2 linked regions of the Saccharomyces cerevisiae S288C genome follow. The protein of the gene in region 2 interacts with the protein of the main gene of each other region in a biochemical or structural test. Each region holds a gene or a part of one and is shown on either strand. Other genes may lie near its edges. The genes, in order: RBG2 and GIR2.

Evidence for each region.
Region 1: the proteins of GIR2 (region 2) and RBG2 form a complex in vitro, tested with the Saccharomyces cerevisiae proteins (one study listed by BioGRID).

The regions. Positions count from the first base shown.
Region 1 is NC_001139.9:841,883-849,528, reverse strand, and holds RBG2 (Rbg2p), read right to left. Parts: upstream 5,676-7,646; coding exon 4,569-5,675; downstream 1-4,568. Other genes in the region: ATF2 (alcohol O-acetyltransferase), read left to right, coding at 1-700; ERG1 (squalene monooxygenase), read left to right, coding at 1,106-2,596; YGR174W-A (uncharacterized protein), read right to left, coding at 2,788-2,874; CBP4 (Cbp4p), read left to right, coding at 3,124-3,636; transporter YIP1, read left to right, coding at 5,938-6,684; methionine--tRNA ligase MSM1, read left to right, coding at 6,978-7,646.
Region 2 is NC_001136.10:760,568-768,905, reverse strand, and holds GIR2 (Gir2p), read right to left. Parts: upstream 3,201-8,338; coding exon 2,403-3,200; downstream 1-2,402. Other genes in the region: peptidylprolyl isomerase CPR1, read left to right, coding at 1-394; ENT5 (Ent5p), read left to right, coding at 935-2,170; putative mRNA-binding protein CTH1, read left to right, coding at 3,751-4,728; NUM1 (Num1p), read right to left, coding at 5,032-8,338. UniProt on the Saccharomyces cerevisiae protein: Acts as a negative regulator of the GCN2 kinase activity by disrupting the GCN1-GCN2 interaction in amino acid-starved cells.

The sequences.
Region 1 (7,646 bases), on a different chromosome or scaffold from region 2:
TAAGCAAGTAGAACAAATCAGAGCTCAGATCAAGAAAAATGTTCACGATGGGTGCACCCTAACACCCTTCATTCAAGCGTGCTTTCTTGTAGCCCTGTATAGACTGGATAAGCTGTTCACAAAATCTCTTCTCGAGTATGGGTTCGATGTGGCTATTCCAAGCAACGCAAGAAGGTTTTTACCAAACGATGAAGAGTTAAGAGATTCTTATAAATACGGCTCCAACGTTGGAGGTTCGCATTACGCCTATCTAATCTCCTCATTCGACATTCCCGAAGGTGACAATGACAAGTTTTGGAGTCTTGTCGAATACTACTATGACCGCTTTTTAGAATCGTACGACAACGGTGACCACTTGATTGGTCTGGGGGTCCTACAACTTGATTTTATCGTTGAAAACAAGAATATAGACAGCCTTCTTGCCAACTCTTATTTGCACCAGCAAAGAGGCGGTGCAATCATCAGTAATACAGGACTTGTCTCGCAAGATACGACCAAGCCGTACTACGTTCGGGATTTAATCTTCTCGCAGTCTGCAGGCGCCTTGAGATTTGCGTTCGGCCTAAACGTTTGCTCCACAAACGTGAATGGTATGAACATGGACATGAGCGTGGTTCAGGGCACTCTACGGGATCGTGGCGAATGGGAATCGTTCTGCAAGCTCTTCTACCAAACCATCGGCGAATTTGCGTCGCTTTAATGCGATACTGCCGTAGCGGGCCTTCGTATAGCTCGGCCGAGCTCGTACAAAAGGCAAGCAGTGTATCGGACAGAGCTGATATAACACAATACGCTCGTAGTCGATGCATGCCGTGGCTGCTCTCGGTCGGGTATAAGTCTTAGACAATAGTCTTACCTCGCATGTATAATAAATCTTTTGTATTTAATCTATTATATGTTTCTATGCTTTTTTTTCCTATTGTTGTTTGCTTTTCCTTTTCCTTATTTCTTTCTAGCTTCTAATTTTCTTTCTTTTTTTTTTTTTTTTCATTGAAAATTATATATATATATATATATCAGAACAATTGTCCAGTATTGAACAATACAGGTTATTTCGAACAATTGAAAAAAAAAAATCACAGAAAAACATATCGAGAAAAGGGTCATGTCTGCTGTTAACGTTGCACCTGAATTGATTAATGCCGACAACACAATTACCTACGATGCGATTGTCATCGGTGCTGGTGTTATCGGTCCATGTGTTGCTACTGGTCTAGCAAGAAAGGGTAAGAAAGTTCTTATCGTAGAACGTGACTGGGCTATGCCTGATAGAATTGTTGGTGAATTGATGCAACCAGGTGGTGTTAGAGCATTGAGAAGTCTGGGTATGATTCAATCTATCAACAACATCGAAGCATATCCTGTTACCGGTTATACCGTCTTTTTCAACGGCGAACAAGTTGATATTCCATACCCTTACAAGGCCGATATCCCTAAAGTTGAAAAATTGAAGGACTTGGTCAAAGATGGTAATGACAAGGTCTTGGAAGACAGCACTATTCACATCAAGGATTACGAAGATGATGAAAGAGAAAGGGGTGTTGCTTTTGTTCATGGTAGATTCTTGAACAACTTGAGAAACATTACTGCTCAAGAGCCAAATGTTACTAGAGTGCAAGGTAACTGTATTGAGATATTGAAGGATGAAAAGAATGAGGTTGTTGGTGCCAAGGTTGACATTGATGGCCGTGGCAAGGTGGAATTCAAAGCCCACTTGACATTTATCTGTGACGGTATCTTTTCACGTTTCAGAAAGGAATTGCACCCAGACCATGTTCCAACTGTCGGTTCTTCGTTTGTCGGTATGTCTTTGTTCAATGCTAAGAATCCTGCTCCTATGCACGGTCACGTTATTCTTGGTAGTGATCATATGCCAATCTTGGTTTACCAAATCAGTCCAGAAGAAACAAGAATCCTTTGTGCTTACAACTCTCCAAAGGTCCCAGCTGATATCAAGAGTTGGATGATTAAGGATGTCCAACCTTTCATTCCAAAGAGTCTACGTCCTTCATTTGATGAAGCCGTCAGCCAAGGTAAATTTAGAGCTATGCCAAACTCCTACTTGCCAGCTAGACAAAACGACGTCACTGGTATGTGTGTTATCGGTGACGCTCTAAATATGAGACATCCATTGACTGGTGGTGGTATGACTGTCGGTTTGCATGATGTTGTCTTGTTGATTAAGAAAATAGGTGACCTAGACTTCAGCGACCGTGAAAAGGTTTTGGATGAATTACTAGACTACCATTTCGAAAGAAAGAGTTACGATTCCGTTATTAACGTTTTGTCAGTGGCTTTGTATTCTTTGTTCGCTGCTGACAGCGATAACTTGAAGGCATTACAAAAAGGTTGTTTCAAATATTTCCAAAGAGGTGGCGATTGTGTCAACAAACCCGTTGAATTTCTGTCTGGTGTCTTGCCAAAGCCTTTGCAATTGACCAGGGTTTTCTTCGCTGTCGCTTTTTACACCATTTACTTGAACATGGAAGAACGTGGTTTCTTGGGATTACCAATGGCTTTATTGGAAGGTATTATGATTTTGATCACAGCTATTAGAGTATTCACCCCATTTTTGTTTGGTGAGTTGATTGGTTAACTACAGCTTATAAGGGAGAGAGGATAGGAACCGTCAAACATTAAGCTGCACCTTTTTTTTTTATTACAGAAGTCGGCTTGGAAGGCTTGTATAGTACATTACGATAAACACATCTTATTTTTATTTATTACTTATTTATTTTACATATTTTCAAAAAAATTCACATATCATTTATTATTAACCGAAGTGTTTTATACTTTTTGTTCTTTCCTTAAAAATGCCTCCAACAGAAAAGGAAAAATGGCTTGATATGCTTCAAAATATGCATTGAGATTCATATTCGGTTATCAATTAACGATATTACTTCCTTAAGTGATATTAAATCAAGCTTGCCGGATTCTGCAGTCAGAATTATACATAATAGTATTTGTGCTCTCGTAAATCCTTTCAGAATTACACCATAGTAGTCTTTGTGAATGTTCTACTTATTAGAATAGATTATTGCTAGTTTATCTCACTTTTCATTCCCCATATCCCTTTTTTTGCTCATCCCCCGGGGTATTTTATCAAGATAAAATTTTATATACATGCAGTGCGCGATAACTCCTAGAGAGGCAGTAATAGCAAAACAAAGACAGTATAAGCATTATTTGGGTATGGAAAGACCATTGTGGGTACGTTGGTTGAAAGTCTATGCAATTGGTGGCGCTATTATTGGAAGCGGGTTTCTGCTTTTCAAGTACACAACGCCAACAGATCAACAGTTAATCAGCCAGCTTTCCCCAGAATTACGTTTACAATATGAGAGGGAGAAAAAACTACGTCAGTCGGAGCAGCAGGCTTTGATGAAAATTGTTAAGGAAACTTCTCAAAGTGACGATCCAATTTGGAAGACGGGCCCCCTTCAATCACCTTGGGAAAGGAACGGTGATAACGTTCAAAGCAGAGATCACTTTGCTAAGGTGAGGGCGGAGGAGGTGCAAAAAGAAGAGTTGGCTAGGATCAGAAATGAACTGTCTCAGCTAAGATCTGAAACGGAGGAGAAAACAAAGGAAATAGTCCAGGATAAGCAGGTTAAAAGCTGGTGGCGCTTCTGGTAGATGGGTCGGGTCACTCAATTAGGAAGGGCAGCTTGAACTTTTGCATCCTAAAACATACGTCTGTGTCATTTATGATATATTATTTATTTGTACACTGTAAATAGGTTTAAAAATATAACTTCATACTTATTTTTAGCTATTTTAGTTCCCATACTTGGGGATGGAAAAAACATTGCGCAAGCCCGGAATCGAACCGGGGGCCCAACGATGGCAACGTTGGATTTTACCACTAAACCACTTGCGCTTGTTATTTATATGAGATTATTGCATCATGCAATGGGGTAATGTCAAGGTTCTTGACAATCCTAATATAAACAGTCTTAGGGAAGTAACCAGTTGTCAAAACGGTTTATCAGCTTGATTCACGGGATCTTACTTATCCTATATATTATATAAAATATGGATCATACTAAATGGTGGAAGCGCGGAATCTTGGATCTAAACCAATTGTTCAGATACTTATACGTTAGAGTAGGTTAGCTAAGGAAGGCAGAGTTTTATTTTCATGTTGCTCATTCTGTTCGTTTTGCTGTAAGGTTGTTTCATATGTGTTTTATGAACGTTTAGGATGATGTATTGTCATACTGAGGTATCCCATTCTGAGATACAACAGAGAAGGTTCCTTTATACTTACTACACTAGGTACCACTATTATAATTTCGAGATTTCATTGTCATTCGGGTTTATTTATTCATTTGAAGCCCAGAATGACAATTTTTATGAACGGAGCTCTTCAAATTACATTATAAAAGTATATACGAATATACCATGAAAGTAACACCTTCCGGTTCTCACTAAAAAACCTATTTTCAGCATTTATTTCTACTACAAGGAAAATGAGTCCGTTTAGTCATGCAAAATCTCTGCTCCGTACTACAGTTCTCGATGCTGATCTTGTTTTTTCATGTTTCTTTAAAATCTATTCATTTATACTATTTCGCGAATAAAGAAACTACATCTTCATCATCAATCCTGTGGTTTAAGCCGCACTTCTGAGGAGAATGTTTGGCAGAAGAACCCCAAACCAATGCGTATTTGAACTTATCTTTGAAATCCCTGTGGATACCATGACATAAGTCACCAATAGTGGAATTATTTCTTACCACTAGAGGATCATCAAATACTGGTCTAACACCTCTCTTCTTTGTATACACACGACTCAAGTTCAGCTGGTACCAAATTTCTTCAACGACGTCTTGTAATCCCAAATCCATTTCACAGGACATAACAACGGTGTTTGGCTCTCTGGCAAGTTTATCCACCTCTTCTAATGATACTGCATCTATCTTATTATACACATAAAGACATTTGACATAATTTCTATGTTGTTCGTTAATAACATCGATAAAATCATCAATCGTACATTGGTCATCTCTTACCAGAACTTCTGCATTATGGATACGATAATCTCTCAAGATCATTTTGATTGCCTGTTCGGTTAAATTGGTCTTTGGAGGGGAGGTAAACGTAACTTTCACGCCACCAGTTTCTTTTTTCTTATAGTAAATATTTGGTTTCTCTTTATTAAGCCTGATGCCTACATTTTCCAGCTCCTTCTCCAAAGATGCTCTTTGATGTTCACTCTTTGTGGCATCTAAAACCATTAATACTAGATCTGCGGTCCTTGCTGTTGCAACAACTTGCCTACCACGACCTTTACCCTGCGAAGCACCATAAATAATACCTGGAAGATCCACAATTTGGATTTCTGCACCTTGGTACTTCAATACACCAGGAACGGATGTCAATGTCGTGAAAGCATAATGAGCGATCTCAGACTTGGTGGTGGTAATTTTACCCAATAAGGAGGACTTACCGACGGAGGGGTAACCTATTAAAACTACTCTAGCGTCACCTGATTTTGCCACTTCAAAACCAGACCCTCCTCCACCACCACTACCAGCTTCATCAGCTAGCAGTTGTTGTCTGTATCTAGCCAATTTCCCCTTCAAAAGACCCAGATGATGTTCTGTGGCCTTATTTTTTTGGGTTCTGGCCATTTCTTCTTCGATGGCTTTGATTTTGTCGATAATACCCATTTTGTAGTGCTTGTTACGTTAGTTTTGATAATGCGTATCTCGTTAGTACTTGTTCAATTCCAATATCAACAGCTTCAATATTGTACGACTTTTATAACTGGGTTTAAATCTCATCGCTATTATCACGAAAATTTTCACTTCGGGTAACCATTGATTATTTTGCTATTTGAGTGAGGTAACTACGTGACACGAACCAAGTCATCTTATAACAGCTACAAATTGGACGGGAAGTACTGCAAGACAACTATTAGTCCCTCTCGAGATGTCTTTCTACAATACTAGTAACAATGCTAATAATGGCGGTGGCTTTTATCAGCCTTCTGCACAATTTGCCGTTCCCCAAGGGTCAATGAGTTTTCAAAATACCGTCGGTTCTTCTAATACTGGCAACGATAACAATTTGGGTGTTGCCCCCGACCCTTTGCCTGTAGGTATTTTACATGCTCTTTCAACTAAGGGATATCCACATGAACCTCCATTACTGGAGGAAATTGGAATAAATTTCGATCATATCATAACGAAAACTAAAATGGTTCTTATACCAATACGTTTTGGTAGTGGTGTGCCACAAGAAATTCTAAACGATTCAGATTTGGCTGGGCCTTTGATATTCTTTTTGTTATTCGGACTTTTTCTATTGATGGCTGGAAAGGTTCATTTTGGATATATCTATGGTGTCGCTTTGTTTGGTACCATTTCTTTGCACAATCTATCGAAATTAATGAGCAATAACGATACTTCCACTCAAACGAACCTACAATTTTTCAATACAGCGTCCATCTTAGGATACTGCTTTTTGCCTCTGTGTTTCCTTTCTTTACTGGGCATTTTCCATGGTTTGAACAACACTACAGGTTATGTTGTATCAGTACTATTTGTAATTTGGAGTACTTGGACCTCGTCTGGATTTTTAAATTCTTTGCTCCAATTGCAAAATGCAAGATTGCTAATTGCCTACCCACTGTTGATTTTCTACAGTGTTTTTGCCCTCATGGTAATTTTTGTCTGAAGGGAATTGGCTTAGGGGCGATATTTGTATATATGTTTTTCTGAACTATGTTTGAATAAAGAGTGTATACAGCATTACATAATCACACTTACTTCCTTGTATAGTGCAAGCAATACCAGTACTAGGCAACATTGGATTACGAAGTGCCTTCTCTTTCTTTAAAAACTAAAACGTAGTCCAATGGTGGTTTCAAACAAATAAATCCGCACAACTGTGAAAAAAGAATGTAAATTTTAATGTTACTATTCTCCAGAGGTAAATAAGGAAAGCATAGGTTTTGATCGAAAGAAAACATGCAATGTCGATCAATTGTGCATCGTCTGTACTCTAAGGTCTCCCACGTAACGACGCCAATTTTCTATCCCAATGCCAAACCGCACCTCGGCCATCTTTACTCCAGCTTATTAAGTGACGTTTACCATCGATGGCAATTATTTAAAGGTAATCTATCCTTCTTTACCACAGGTACTGATGAACATGGATTGAAAATCCAGTGTGCTAGTGAAAGCAATGGCTTCGATCAGCCAAAAAAGTTCGTCGATAAGCTATACCCAGAGTTTGTTCAATTAGACAAAATATATGGCATTAATTATACAAGATTTATAAGGACTACGGATCCTGACCACATTGAAAACGTGATGAAATTATGGGAACTTTGTTTGAAAAATGGCTATATTTACATGGGCGAACATAAGGGTTGGTATTCCATTTCTGATGAAACATTCTATCCTGAATCCAAGGTTATTAAAGACCCCAAAAATGATGGTAAGTATCTGAATACAGAATCGAAAAACGAAGTAGTTTATCAGTCAGAGACAAATTACTTCTTTAGGCTATCCTTATTTAACAAGAAAATAGTTGACCATATAAGAAAGAATCCAGATTTCATTTTTCCTGCTTCTAAAAGAGACCAAATTCTAAAAGAACTAGAAACCGGTGGGACATTGCCAGATTTATCGATA
Region 2 (8,338 bases):
AAACTTCAGAGCTCTATGTACCGGTGAAAAGGGATTCGGCTACGCTGGCTCTCCATTCCACAGAGTTATTCCAGACTTCATGTTGCAAGGTGGTGACTTCACTGCTGGTAACGGTACCGGCGGTAAGTCTATCTACGGTGGCAAATTCCCAGATGAAAACTTCAAGAAGCACCACGACAGACCAGGTTTGTTGTCCATGGCCAACGCCGGTCCAAACACCAACGGTTCTCAATTCTTCATCACCACCGTTCCATGCCCATGGTTGGACGGTAAGCATGTTGTCTTTGGTGAAGTTGTTGACGGTTACGACATCGTTAAGAAGGTTGAGTCCTTGGGTTCTCCTTCCGGTGCCACCAAGGCTAGAATTGTTGTTGCCAAGTCCGGTGAATTATAACCGCTCTGCCTGGAACAATACAGCAAAAATTGAAACGAACTATTCTCTCTTAAATTATATGTATATGTATAAGGTATGTGTATGTATGACAATCAATTCTTATAACTAACTCTTCCTACCTATATCGGAGTATGTTGCCAGGCTTGCCAACTAGCCAACTACCGCCTAGGTTATGCCTGTTAAGTTGACGCCGCCGGGTACCGCCCCCTGTTTTTCCCACGTTTCTTTCTTTCCTCTAGGTAACGGATTTTCGGCTTATTTTCCACAGCGAGAAAATTTTCTTTCTCCTGCACTTTTTTTCATATTCAGGTCCTTTGATCCATTCATTCATTCTTGTTTTAATTTCAATCTAGATTTTAGTTTTCGGTTGAATTTATCTTTAGTTTTTTATCAATAAGAATTGGTCTAGCTTATCTTTCCAGGCTGCTTATAGTTTACTTTTTTTAAAAAATTATATTTCTATCCAATATACAAATCGGAAGGGAAATTCATATACACAAATTAAACGTTCCAATTGCATAAATACCAACACCATACAAAATGGACTCATTATCAAAAAAGATTCAAAATTTAGGTATCCATGATATTAGAAATGCCGCAAGGTTTGCCCAAAACGTGATAGTCCAATATGAGCCTTATCAGATAGATATCCGTCGTGCTACAAATACCGATGCTTGGGGCCCCACACCGAAGCACCTCGCCAAGGTTTTAAGGAACAGATACCAAGTGCCGCTCTACTTGATGACAGAATACACGTTGAAAAGATTAGTCGACCATATCGCTACCAGGCCCAAGAACCTATACGAAAAGGCAAGAAAGGACTACGTTAATTATGGGTCCGAATGGAGGGTGGTCTTAAAATGTCTAGTAGTCATTGAATTCCTATTATTGAACGTCGACACAGGTGACGAACTGAATCAGATTAGATCATGTTTGCTCACTCATAAGCATATTTTAACCAGGGAGATTGCCCAATTCAAGGTAAAATTCTCCAATGATGGTAAAATGGAGATTCATGAGAGAGGTATTAGGAAAAAGGGAGAACTTATCTTGCAATACTTGGAAGACTCACAATTTTTGAAAAAGGAAAGAGCCAAGAATAAGAAGAATGCCTTGAAAATTCGACAGCAAGGAGAATCCTCCATTTATAATGCCAACCAGATTTCAACGTCTGCAAGTTACGATAACATCGACGACGATGAATTTGATGCAGATGCAGATGGCTTTGACAGTGAAATGGATGCTAATAATGTGACCAACTTCAATGTTCCTGTGGAAACAGAAGCAAATTCGAATACTCGCAGGCGTTCTCATATGGAAGAACAAAGAAGACAAAGAAGGGAGATATTAAGAGAGCAGATCAAAAATAAAGAACAGCAGAGGAAAAGAAAGCAACAACAAGATAGCATCCCTGACTTAATCGATCTTGACGATAGTACTAGCACCACGAATAATATAACAATAGACAATGGTAATAATGACAACAAAAACAATAATATCAACAGCAATAGTGATGATGATGATGATGAGTTTGGCGACTTCCAAAGCGAAACGAGTCCCGACACAACAGCACCTAAAACTTCCAATAGTAAAATAGATGATTTGCTTGACTGGGATGGCCCAAAGTCAGACACAGATACCACCGCTGCTGCGCAAACATCATTGCCCTTTGCGGAGAAAAAACAGCAAAAAGCCCGTCCTCAGGCTACAAAGGACAAGTCGAAGGGAAATGATGCATTTTCCGACTTATTCTCTTACTCCAAGTCGTTGGTCTAATCACCAAATACCCCTTCATCTCCCAATACATTCAATACAGTCAACAAATTTTCATTCTCAGATATATGTATCCATATATACACTAATAATATCTTACTAAAAACTTGTCTATTTCCTTCTTCAAATGTCAGTTTTCTTTTTATTGAATATCAAAAAAATATTATATAGATACATTTGTATATGTCATTATCCATGCAGAAGAAAATACTTAAATACTTAAGTACACAAGTATTTATTGATTTGCTATTTCGGTCTTGGCAAGTCCCTTGGCTACGTCATCTACACTCGCGTCATCCTCTTCCATATACTCGTCGCCTGTGCCCACCACGCCTTGTTCAAACATTTGCTTACCGGTTAGCTTCCCATGATGAGCCTTCATCCTTCTCACCTGGTCTCTTTCATCCAGTTTCAGTTCTTGGCGAAATTTAGACCTCCATTCCAAGTACGATTCTCTTGTGACTTTAGTACCATGGAACTTGGCCTGTTCCTTCTTTTCACGTTCTTGTGCTTCCAGCTCGTACTGCTTCTCGAGCTTATTCAATTGTTCACTATACCATTGCTCACATCTTTCTTTTATGGATGAAATCAATGCAAAACACATTTGCATACCCAATAACATATCGGTTTCGATTTGCGATTCTAATTGTACGGTTAATTCAGGCAAGTACCCCTTAAAGCTTATTAAATCTGGCAGGTTTTCAAACTTTTTCAGTACTTTATTACCATGGTCGTCATATTCAACCTCGTCTTCATCTTCCTCGTTATCTTCTTCGTTGTCATTGAGGGCTACTTCTTGAGCTTCCAATGAAATCAGGCATGGTTCGTCAGGGTAGTTTTCTGGTAACTTGAATTCGGCGATTATAGTGTGCTCTTTGGTTAAAACAGAAGTAGAATCACCTGTATCCAGCTCTAATTTAATGGCTACTTCAAATTTAATCTTTGGGTATTCATCGTTTATGATCCTCAGTTCATCAGGATAAATGGACTCTAAAACTTCTAGTTCCTGCTTCTGTTCTTCCTTATAATCCATAGTATTAACAAGTGCCTTCTGGATATGGAGGGAGGGCTTTTCCTTAAATTATACCAACCGACAGCATGGGAAACTCAGCTCTTTAAAGCCAATCTAACGATGCCTGCTGATTTTACAATTGGAAAATAGAAAATTTTCATTTTCCACCTTCTGTTACCCGAGTTTATAGACCTAGGATTTCCAATCATTACTTATTAGGACATTCGGGAAAAATATACATATATGGCCCACTTCTCTCACATCTCTTTTAGGGTCTGTGCCAATGGCACCCAAATTTTTCTTCTTTCTTTTTCGCTCGTATTCTCTCACGCTCTTGATCAGTGTGAGCAGTTACTAATATACTGGATCAGAGAACATTAACTCAAAGGTTGATAGTGTAGATCATTGGACATAGTGTGACGGTTTTGCACTCTTGTTGCGCTTGCTCTCTTAACAAGTCACATCTTATTTAGCCTCTTCACCCATAAGTTGATTGTAAAGCCGTAGAACCCTATATCACAGTCTCTTCGGCAACTCAACCAATAAGAACTATTAAGGATTAACACTAGCCATGATGCCGAATGTTGCTCCAAACAGCTACTATTTAAACATACCGAATGCCAATTCGACCTCAACGACTACGTCCTCGATCTTTTCTGATCTCAACAAGGAGTACGAGTCAAAGATTAAAGAAATCGAAGAATATTATATAAAGACACTGCTCAATGAAAATACCGATAATGATGACAGCAGCAGCTCCGAGGGGCATAATATAAATGAAACGGACATTTTAAGTGAATACTCACCAAGGCCTTCTCCTTGGTTACCATCCAAACCAAACTGTTATCATCCGTTGGGAGATTTTAAAGACTTGATCATATCAGATTCCAGACCTACAAATACATTACCTATTAATAACCCTTTCGCAGGCAATAATAACATCTCAACACTTGCTACAACTGAGAAAAAACGTAAGAAAAGGTCACTCGAAGTTGAGATTAACCCTACTTACACGACAAGTGCATTTTCATTACCCCTGACAGCGGAGAATTTACAAAAACTATCTCAGGTGGATTCTCAGTCTACTGGACTTCCATACACACTTCCAATTCAGAAAACAACAAAACTGGAACCTTGTAGAAGGGCACCTTTGCAGCTTCCTCAATTAGTCAATAAGACCTTATACAAAACTGAGCTCTGTGAATCTTTTACTATTAAAGGCTATTGTAAGTATGGAAATAAATGCCAATTTGCTCATGGTCTTAATGAACTGAAATTCAAGAAAAAATCAAACAATTATAGAACTAAACCTTGCATAAATTGGTCGAAGTTAGGCTACTGTCCGTACGGTAAGCGTTGCTGTTTCAAACACGGTGATGATAAGGACGTTGAAATATATCAAAATGCTAACGATGGAAGAAGTAAGGATACGGCGTTGACTCCACTTCCTACTTCCCTAGCCCCAAGCAACAACGATAATATCACTAATTTGAGTAAGCCTAGGAACTTACATACTAGTGTTAAAGCATTGCAAAGGATGACTTGGTAGTCGGTCAACAACAAAGCCCTTTGAATATTTGGCGTATTTCTGCTGCCTCTCCTTATTTATTTATTCATTATCGTTTTCATATTTATTTCAGTCACAAAACAAAATTAAAGAATTCGTGACCTACTAACATGAGAATTAGTTAATTTAATCTTTTTAGTTTATTTATTTCATTAGGTAGAATTTTTTTTTCTTTCTCTGATCTTTCAGTGTTACTCATCGGTGGCAAACGTGTTTACAGGACTAAAAATCGAAATAATGATTATTATTGTTCTTAATTTACTTAGAGTTATTTAGTTTTTTTAACTATCGTAAATTGCCAAATGATCGGCTTTGTGGTACTCTATGTCTTAGAGACCTTGTAGATACGGACCTTCTCGATGCGCTAAGTCTTTTACTGGAGCTCTTTGTATTTTCGCCGGGCAATGGGAAAATCTTTCCTGAATACATATTATCTGTTGGATCATCAGCGATGTCCTCTAAACTTATCCCTTGCATGTTCCTTTGAAGTAAATAACGTAATGAATTATACCAAATATTGTGTCTTTGCCTTGTAGGACAAGTAAACTTAATAGTCCTAGTTTCTGTGGTAACAACAATACTTTTGTGATACAATCCTGTTGGATATGGGTTTGGGTCTGTGACACTTTCTACTCCTAGAATGGCAACACCTTTTGTTTTGGTATTGGCAGGATTCTCTAGGATGGGATTAGAAGCGGACCAGTACAAAGTTAAGGTATATGGATGAACCCAGAAGAATCTTTCATGACGTGATTCGAATCCAAAAGGTCCCAAGCGTGGATAATACTTAAACAAATATTCCCCAATGACGGTTTGGGTTAACGCGGGTATTATGCTTGGTTCGTTCAATGATGCTAAAGTTTGTAAAGATGCCGTCCTACTGGCAGATCCTGCACGTGACATAAATGATGCTACTATATCTCGTCTAGATGCTGGCGTATTCCTCGATGAATGTGTGGTTTTTGAGGTTGAATTAGAATTCAGACTCTGTTGACGTTTATGGTGCTTATGATGATTAGTACGATGAGACTGCTCTTCTATTTGTGGATGACTTTCGGAATCTTCATAAGCAGTTGTTGCTGCTGCTTCTGCAAGTCCCTTTTTTGCTCCAGACTTTGTGGACACAGTAGATGTTTTATTGTTTAGCTTATGCGACACATACTCATGTTTGGATGCCGTGGCTTGACCTTTCTTATCTTCCTTTGTTGTTAGTGCAATCTGGAGCCCACGCTTTTTAACTTCCGCTTGTAATTCTTCATTACTAACACAGTTCCATTTCATGTCTTCAGGTGACATTAGATTATGGTAATAGGACGCGGAAAGCACAACTATATCGCTCATATCTTGAGCACTTGCATATGATGCACCCACAAAATTACTTTCAGGAATACACAACATACCATATTTCATAGCTTGAGTTTTAATAATGTCTACATCATTTTTGATTTCTTGGCTTTCATCTACAAAGCTATCAGATATATCGTCACCATAAACCGCCTCATTTTGACTCATTATATTATCATCTCTTGATAACAGTGTTTTCTCCCTACTAGTCAAAATCAAATTACGATCGCCAGCGGGTTTCTTGAGTTGCCTTACTGTGAATGTTGGATCATCCGGCCCATATTCGACTTCTTCGTTGTCCATATCATTGTGGGGAACGGTGTTTTGGAAGGCACCTTCTTGCGCTGTGTTTGTGGTTTTTGCTGCTAAGTTTTGATTTTCTGACAAGGGATTATTCATTTCTTCCATGCCACCATTCAGATTAACCGCGTTATCTTTTAGTATATGATATTCTTCAAATTCCTGATCAGAAATGAGGGTCATACCATATTTTTCTGCTTTTCTAGATAAGTGATCAAGATCTATGCTACTGGCAACGCTAGTGTCATCGTTGTCCTTCGAAAATAATGGAGCTTCAATGTTTTTCAGATTGATATTTGATTTTTCGAACGGAACTAATTTGTAGCCTAATTTTTCAGCAGAATTCTTGATGTTTTCATAGGCGGGAATGAAAATGGTAGCATCTTTCACTGTGGATGATTTCGAGATTATGTCAGTATAATCTTCATTATTCTGCAATTCGACACGATTAAGCTCTTCGATATTATCATCTAGTGCATCTGTAAACATGCTCGATGTTGTGGTCGAGTTACTGCTGGTCGTATTTATTGATTGTTCATCAATGCGCTCTGCACGCTCAGCTCCAGAAAGTTTGTTGGGTTTTTGGAGGCATAATTCCATACCGAATTGGTGGGCATATACTTTCAAATCTTCATAAGTAATGGGAGGGCAGGGACTTGTAGTGTTTACCAGTTGTTGGTATTCTATGTTTTCTACTATGATGCTATCAAAAATGGCGGCCTTTTCTTTCAAAACATCTAGGCTAGGACGATCTATTTGATCCCGCAGTTCAGAATATTCCTTTTCTGAAATGATAATTAGCCCTTGCTCCTTGGCTTTCATTGTCAAAAATTCAGAATCTGGTTCAGATAATAGTTTCTCGTTTCTTTTATGCGTAGATTCATTAACTAGTATTTTCCCCATTGATAGCGCCTTAGTGGATAAGAAATCGATAGTTGGTTTCTCAATCGAGCGTGACATGGTCGCAAAATCATCCTTGTCTACCAAGACTTTATTTAATAAAGATGCCTTTTCGGAGAGGTGGATCACTGTCGGATGTTCTGATACTGCTAAAATGTTTTTATAGTCATCTTCTTTTATTAAAATATGATTATTCAAAACGGCTTTCTCTTTTAAGTAGCTCAAGCTGGGATTTCTATAATTTGTAACCATTAAATTGTACTCAGACAGAGGCACTACAATGTGGTCGATTTTCTCTGAAGAAATTTTCAAATAATCCAGTTGTGGCTTTTCGTATTTAGCAACCATCAATTCATAATCTTGTCTAGAGATTGCGACGTAATCCATTTTGTTCAAAGAATCCTTTAGATAATCAAAGTTTGGATTCTCATACTTTCCAATTAAATCTTGGTAGATAGTATTAGGAATTGCAATGTAGTTTAGTTTGCTCAAGGTGTTAATTAAGTCTTCAACATTTCGATTTTCCAAAGGTTCTCTTAGAGTTGAGTACTCGTTTTGGTCGAGCAAAACCAAGTTCAAGTGATGACAGGATTCCTCTAGCTCCATCCGAGTGGGATGATTGCATTTTCTTATAGTTTCATCATACTCGATTTGGTCAACAAGTATTTTGTTCATTCCAGCAGCCTTTTCGATTAAAAATGTTAAAGAGGGATATTCTATTTTCTTTTGCAATGCTTCCTTCTCCTCGTTCCTCAACAACACCATTTCATTGCGGGCAGCCTTTTCTTGCATGTAGTCAATATCTGGTGAATCAATCATTTGTTTCATGCGATCCAGCTCAACCTCGCTAACTAATTCATATCCCAGTGCTGATGCTTTTTCTAAAATAAATTCGTAGCCTGGATTTTCAATGGCTTCTTGCTTTTCTTCGTAATCATGTTTACTAATTATGAGCATTTGATATTTTTCACATTTTTCCTTCAGGAAATCAATAGATGGATCACCGAGAATATTTAAGATTTTAGTGTGTTCCTTTCTCATATTATCA